Linked DNA regions of Macaca fascicularis. The protein of the gene in region 2 purifies or fractionates together with the protein of the main gene of each other region. This does not show direct contact. Links are inferred from orthologs where the notes say so. Each region holds a gene or a part of one and is shown on either strand. Other genes may lie near its edges.

Region 1 (4,535 bases), on a different chromosome or scaffold from region 2:
TGAGCCCTAACTCCTTCCCGTAAGACTGCCACAAGGTGCCTTCCTTTCCCTTCTTCAACACTCACCGATGGGAAGCATTGGCTGGTTCTCACAGTACACACGAGGACAGTAACCAAAGTCTCCCTGCTGGTACTTTTCCAACTGAAGTGAATAAAATGGAAGGGGTTGGCAGGTAGGTGTGAAGAGAAGAGGCAACTCCCTTCTCAGCTCAACCCATATCACTCTGTCCCCCACTCCTCCCACCTCTGTCCAGAGGCCCCTTCTCTGGCCCAGATGGGCTCTCAAACTCCTATGTTGCCTTTCTTCCAGTTAGGCAGGCTACAAACCATCAGAGCCATTTGTTGTTTGTTCCCTGAGGAAGAGGCAGTCTATCACAACTCTCTGTTCAAGGACTGTCTCCCTCCCTGAAAATTATCCCTTCAGGATGACCCCCAATCAGAATTCAATTCCCAGGCCCAAGCCTGGGGTTCTTCTCCTCTTCTCAGCCAGTTTCCTTAAACAAGGCTTAAACATGACTTCTTGCTGCAGGAACCTGTGTCCCTTACTGCTCAGAAGGAGGCAATTAGGAGCAGAGAGGCCTCACCATCTGGGCAATGCCACGGTTGGTAAGGATGTAGCGGGCGTGGATCAATCCATAAAGCATCTCGGCAGCCTGCTCAATCAGGTCACTCTGGTTGGGGTTGTCTTCCAGTTCTTCATCTGAAACACAGCCCGGCCAAATGCAACCACTTGTTTTTCAGCTTTCCTAGGTGCCCTGCCCATATCCAGGGGGTGCGGGCTATTCAGTTCGCCTGGCACCTACTTTTGGGCCTTACCCCATCCAACATCTGGGCATGTGACCCAGAAACCTGGGCTTCTGACCCTTGCGCCAACCCAAGACAGCTCTGTCTTCTCTTCACACCTCTTTAGCCTCCGCTCCCCACTCTCCCTCCCAGCTCCCTCCCCGATACATAACTGCAACAATGTCAATGCAAAAGATGAAACTCTAGACTGGAAGGTGCAAAGCAGGAGAAATAGCAAACCAGACCCATGAGGAAACATATTTTGGAAAACATCTGAATTGTGGATTTAGAAAACATGGGAACAAGTGATATACGTCACAAAACTAGACACAGTCAGGTGGAGGATCAAAATAAAGCATGAATTTGGGGTTAAAGAAATCAGAGAACCAAAGGAAATTTCAAAATTCAAGTAAGTGAATATAGATTTGAAGAGAAAAAAAGTGCATGCACACACACAAAACAACCCTGAGGGTGCCTCACCAGGCTCCAGGTCCAAGATCATGTCTAGAGCTTGTCGATAGTGAGGAACCTGCTCATTGAGTCCAGTAAGATTAAATTTGTCCTGGATGTAGTCTTCATCCACCTGTTGGGACATGGAAGCCAAGAGGGAACCCATATCAAAATCCCCATCTTTGACCTGGGCAAAATGCTCTAACTGATGCCTTATCATCAACACAACTGCATCTGTTCCGCTTGTTTCTCACTCCCAACTCAGCAGAAGTACTTGCGTCTCTCCCTAGTTCACCTATACTCCCTCCCATAAAGCTTTGGCTTTTCTTTTCTAAGGATAAGCAGGTACAGCAATCTTTTTCTTAGACATTCTTTTCAAGATCTCTGTCCCTACTCCTGTACTCCATCTCTAGGAACCAGTTTTGTCCTCTCAGCTGGCTGAGGAGGATGGAAGCTGAACGGCATGGTTTCTGAACAAAACATTTCAATACGTAGCATTTCAATTTTCCTAACAGCCAGCTGAGACAGGTACTAGCAGTACAACTTTAGTAATAAAAGATACAGGCTGGGCGCAATGGCTTATGCCTGTAATCCCAGCACTTTGGGAGGCTGAGGCGGGCAGATCACCTGAGGTCTGGAGTTTGAGACCAGCCTGGCCAACATGGTGAAACCCTGTCTCTACTAAAAATCCAAAAATTAGCCGGGCGTGGTGGCGGGTACTTGTAATCCCAGCTACTTGGGTGGCTGGAGCAGGAGAATCGCTTGAACCTGGGGGGCAGAGGTCGCAGTGAGCCGAGATCGCACCACTACACTCCAGCCTGGGCGACACAGTGAGACCCAGTCTCAAAAAAAAGATAAAGAAAAAGACACAAATTGCCTGCTGGAGGGTGGCAGAGTCGAAACTTGGGCCCCAGTTTTGCCACTTTAGCACAGGTTCGTCGGGGGTTATTGAGGGGACTCTTCGTTGATGGGAAGTTTTCAAGTAGTATGTAAGAGAACAGTGTAGAAGTGGAATACGTGAAGGAACATCTGGTGGGAAGATATGTGAAGCCAGCAAGTAGGGAGGTCGAAGAGAACTCACTTCACAGAAGAATTCATTGCCACGGAGCCCACAGAACCAGGAAATCCAGGACACCTCCTCTGAGCTGCTCATCTTCACGTCAGCTGAAAAAAAGAGTGTCAGTAAAGCTCAAGTTCTCCTTCCCTGCCTCGGGTATCCTCCCTCCTCCCACATTAGAACCACCCTTTCTTAAAGGATCCCAAACTCTGAAGCACTCCTCTCCAACTCCTCCAATTTACATCTCAGTTCCCTTTTCTTTGACGTTAAACATTCTTTGGGGTCCCACCACTTGAAAGAAGCCAACAGATACTTTGACCCACCAGCCCGACCCACGTCCCTGGAGCTCCCGAAAGCCAGGGCCCTCTCTTCTCTGTGTCAACTCCGGCAGGGACCTCGACTCAGGCTCCGTACCAATGCAAGTCTCTGCACGACCCCGGCGCCTTTCCCAAGGATTTCCAAGTTTATCACTCTCAAGCAAGAATCGGGCGCCTCCTTTTCTCAAGGGTTGGGGGCGACTGTCAGGTCCCTTTCACCGGATTCCACACATCCCCCCTCCGCTCCTCAAGCCACCTCTCCCTCCTTGCCGGACCTGGTTGCTTCCTCCCCCCGCCCCCATATCAAAGTGCGGAGACCCATGTGCGGCTCCCAGCGACAAGCGACTAGGAGCAGCGAAGACCTCAGACTCACCAGCTGGACGGGGACCAGGACTGGGGTGGGGTAGGGAAGTTGCTACTTCGAAGGAACGGCGGCGACCGCTACAGCGCAGGCCGCGGACCCGACCGCGGCAGGCGAAGTGGGGTGGGGGGAGTGGAAATTGGGGAGGGTGGGGAAGAGGGCAACACGCAAGCGCCAAGGGTCAGGTGCCGCGGTGGATGCCGGGACGCGGAGTCCCCGGTAGAGAGAGAAACCGGCTAAGTGAGGGAAAGCGAACTACCAATCCCAGGATGACCCGCGCACGACCTGGCTGTCACGAAGCCCCGGAGGAGGACGCTTGCGGGCGGGGCGCAACGAGAAGCCACCGGAAGCGGAAACCAGGTATGGCGTTCGGGGCCTGGGAGCCTGGGCAATACAGTTGTGTGCTCACTGGGCGAAGAAGCTGACTTAGGGCGGGGAAAGGAGGGAGCCAGGCTGGACCCCTCCTCGCAGCTCTCCTCACAGTTGCCCTCTAGTCCCGACGCGGTGCTGCTTCCCTGGGGACTGGCCTATCCTTGGCCAATGCGCTGGGTCCTTATTGCCTGTTGGGCCCCTAGTGCGAGTCAGTCCCGCCAGAGACCCTTGACGGGCCTTCTGTTTTACTCCGGGCTCCGGCCTCATGAGGCGAGAGGTGCGGCTTGGCTCCGTGCGTAGGGACTTGGGTTGGGAGGGCTGGGCTGGGCTGGGCTGGGCTGGGCTGGGCTGGGCTGGGCTGGGCTGGGTGAGAACCAGAACGGCCCAGTGCGCTAACCTGAGGTGGTGCCAGCCATTCTGCTCGTCCCCTTGCACTTCTCCATTTCCCCTTAGTCTCTAAGTGTGACCTTCGAACCCTGGTCAGAGTAATGGTGAGGGGCAGGCGTGACGTTATTTCATTACACGGCTTCTCGGCATTCCACAGGTTTCCCTCCGCCTCCTGAGGGCCTTTCCTAACCCAGAGAGTGGATTCCTAGCTCCAGAAAATGGGCTTGGAGCGGGGGCCACGTAGAGGAAGGCGAAGGGCATTGTGGGGGCGTTATGTAAAAGTAGGACCCCAACCGACAGATCCTAGCGCTCGCGCCACCTGGGCGCGCGGAGCTTTGCTCGTTTACTATTGGAAAAGTTCCAGCGCGGGAAACTGAACCGGGAGCTTTGCGCACGCCTGAGCCATCAAGTAATGTGGGTGGTGGTTTTTGTTGTTGTTGTCGCCACGCATGCGTCTCCGTGCCGTGTGGCTATTTGATTGTGTCAACTCTGCTGATCAGAATAGCGCCATTTTGCGTTACGGAAGCTACACGGCAACACGTATAGGAGCCTCTCCCCGAGATCTTCTAGGGAGTGACCCGTCTATTTTTGTTTGGGAAGAGGAAACTCCGAAATGGGATCACGGAAGACTTAAAGGGCCAGGTTTGATTTTTTTTTTTCCTACTGGTATGTCTGTTTTACGGGGTGAGAAAGTGATTTCAGAAAGAGGCTGGTATTTATTGTTGGTAAGGATGGGGGTGGGGGCCGGACGCAGGACCTCTGGACGACTGTCTCATGGAGTTTGATTAATCTTTACTAAGGAGCAAAGT
Region 2 (3,306 bases):
AAATTATCAACATGAGAATATAGTCTAGGTAAAACTCTTGGTCTTTAAAGAAAAGGAAAATACACATTGAGCATCCAGGCAAAACCAAGTCACTTTTATGTCTAAGAAAATCAGACTATATCAGACATCGAAAGCAACATTTTATATAGGCATTGGAGTAACATATTTAAGATAGTTAAGAGAAGAAAACATGAGTCATGGATTGTGTATCTGGCCAAAATGACCTTTAAATATACAGTTCATGCATAAACTGCTAATAACAGGCAAGAACTCAGGAAATATTGTTTGAATGAGCACTTCCAGAGGAAATAACTAGAGAATAAACTTCAGACAAAAAGAATACAAAAGCATTGACTTAAGATTTTGTGGTGATCATTAAAAATATATTTAGTTATAGAACTAAAACTGAATGGACTGAACTAAAACTAAATCAAACTAGAACAGAAAAAGAAAAAAGGAGGCAGTATAGCACTAAATCGCTGTATGTGTCAGACAATGTACACACAGTATAAGTACCTAAAAGTGGATGAAAATACCTGTTTTTTTCTTTCTTTCTTCCTTTTTGTGGAGAATGGGGTCTTTCTATATGGCCCAGGCAGGTCTCAAATTCCTGGGCTCAAGCTATCCTTCTGCCCCTGCCTCCCTAAGTGCTGGGGTTACAGGCATAAGCCACCATGCCTGGCTAAAAATGGATGAAAATAAAAAGTATATAGGAAAAATAAGATAAGTTCCCTGACTGTCTTACAGATATTAACAAATGAAAGGAGGGCACATGAGGCCAGCTAACTTCAACATTGCTCACAGTAGGGAACCAGAAGCAAGGGGCCTCAAAAAGGAAGGGAAAGGGCCTAAGACTGTTATATAGAGGTAATAATAAACAGGTAATTATTAGGGGGAAAAAAAAAAGCCTTCCTCTAAGTCCAATGGTATACCAGAGTGAGAATGAGGGCAAGAGAAAGGAGAAAAAGAAAGGTAAAGGTAGTAAGAGAGGGAGAGAAAGAGAGATGTCTGTTTCTCTTAAAAACAGGGGAACAAAAGCCAATGAAAGGATGTATCTGCCGGGCACCGTGGCTCACGCCTGTGATCCCAGCACTTTGCGAGGCTGAGGCAGGCAGATTGCCTGAGGTCAGGAGTTTTAGACCATCTGGCCAACATGGTGAAACCCTGTCTCTACTAAAAATACAAACATTAGCTAGGTGTGGTGGCAGGTGCCTGTGGTCCCAGCTACTCAGGAGGCTGAGGCAGGAGAATCGCTTGTACAAACCTGGGAGGCGGACGTTGCAGTGAGCCAAGATCATGCCAGTGCACTCCAGCCTGGGTGATCGAGTGAGGCTCCGTCTCAAAAAAAAAAAAAAAAAAAAAAAAGGATAAATCATAAGCAAAACAAAACCCATTTTGGGGAAGAAACAAATGGAGGGAACCAGGTAGAAGTGAGACTTCTTTGAAAATAACTGTCTGAAAATTTGATTATGGATCCCATGAGTGTTTTTATATTATTATAAAACAAAATTAAACACGTTAAAAAGAAACCTGTTGCTGAAAATGACACTAATTATACATCGGCATACCTAAACTTAGAAACGATTTCAAGTTACTTTAAAACACAGGAAAATGACTGTATATTCCTAGTGTACTTATAGTAAGTATCAAATAAATGTAGAAAAAAGAAAAAACACTTTTTAGTGATTATTTTACTGGTAGTGATGATAGTATGGTGATTCTGAGATTGCTGTCTGTGAATGGTGGGGTAAATAAAATGAATGTTCCGATACCAAGATGTGATATTTTTAATACGGTTGGAAAAAGACTAAAATCAATGACAGAAAGTATAAACAATAAAGTCTTGAATTTGAACTGGAACTATCAGTATGAATCAATATTTTTTTTCTTAAAAAAAAAAAAATCCTAACTAATTTATCTGAAAAGACCTAGAAACAGAGACATTCCTAACATCCAGACTCTGGCTTCTAAACCTATTTCCTATTATAGTAAAGGAATCAGCGCTTCTTGGAGAAATGGGTGACTCCTAAGTCAGAAAAGGTCCAAAAAAAGCCTAGAAAATGCAAACATACCAGAAAGCAAAGACTAGCAGCAAAGAAACACACAACTACTTTAAATAATCTCCCATTGGCCACAAATGAGACAATTTTGCATCAATTAGAATTATAACTAATGGAGGAAACACATCAAATGTGTTTACATCAGTGAGTTCACCTTTGGAAAATGTTAGGAACCAATTCATTTTGAAAACTGACATCTAATAAGGGGAAAGAATCAAGTATTTCTCTTGCTTTTCCTACATGATCTGTACCTTAAAGTAATTGAGTAGTTGGAGAGGAGGAAGTTTTCAACAGAAGTAACAAGAACATATTAAAAGAATTAACACAGCTCTATTTTGCAACCCTTAATGAATAAATCTGGGCAATAATCATCATGCCAAATAAATCACGGAAAGAGATATAAGTGAGGGAAGTGTACAATATCACCTTTGGAACAATCTTGCCAAACAAAACAAAACACCAAACCTGAATCTCTAATCAGTTCTCCAGATCTAAATACCAATTACAGGAAACACAGAGGACAGTGGAGTATGTTAAATGACACCATGTAGAGAAAATCAGCAACATTCCAATATGTGAGAAATTTTACAGGCCAAACACCCGATGTCTTCAACCAAAATATGTCAAGGAACGCGCGCGCGCGCACACACACACACACACAGAGAGAGAGAGAGCTGGAGAAGGGGAATTTATATATCAAAGGAAATCTGAGAGATTATAAGGCAATAAAATAATAAAGGAAATGTAAATATCAATTGCATATATACATATTCATATATATTAAGGGATTATTGTTATTTTTTATAGATGGGATAAAGATACTGAGACTTTTTTTTTTTTTTTTTTAAAAGAAGCTGTTACCTTTTAGAGAAACACACTGATGTATTTCAGTTGAAATAAAAGAGTTGGGGGGCGGGGGGGATACAGATGAAACAGGGTTTGCCACATGTTGATAATTATCTAAGCCAGTTAATAGACACAATGAGTTCATGTTTTTCTCTGTATTTCTGTGTATAAAAAAATTGTTAAAAATTGCTTTCATCATCTTGACAATGTAAGTGAAAAAGCATCTTTTCAAGCCTTAAGATTGCCAGTATAAGTCATTACAGCTTTTTCAAGGCTTAATGAAAGAGACTCTTCATAATTTTTAAGTGACCAAATTTGAAATTAAATTAAGTTATTCATGAGGTCTAAATCTAGTCTGCATAGACCCCTGGACTGTAACTTGATTTAAAAAGATTACAAA

The links.
Region 1: the proteins of GPATCH2 (region 2) and CSNK2B purify together in Homo sapiens (co-immunoprecipitation; 3 studies listed by BioGRID and IntAct, with this or other methods). This does not show direct contact. The link is inferred for Macaca fascicularis from reciprocal best matches to the Homo sapiens genes GPATCH2 and CSNK2B.

What each region holds. Positions count from the first base shown.
Region 1 is NC_088378.1:140,053,839-140,058,373, forward strand, and holds the start of CSNK2B (casein kinase II subunit beta), read right to left. Parts: upstream 3,083-4,535; 5' UTR 2,980-3,082; intron 2,397-2,979; 5' UTR 2,386-2,396; coding exon 2,314-2,385; intron 1,366-2,313; coding exon 1,263-1,365; intron 700-1,262; coding exon 584-699; intron 142-583; coding exon 66-141; intron 1-65. UniProt on the Homo sapiens protein: Regulatory subunit of casein kinase II/CK2.
Region 2 is NC_088375.1:75,290,183-75,293,488, forward strand, and holds the end of GPATCH2 (G patch domain-containing protein 2), read right to left. Parts: intron 1,339-3,306; coding exon 915-1,338; 3' UTR 540-914; downstream 1-539. UniProt on the Homo sapiens protein: Enhances the ATPase activity of DHX15 in vitro.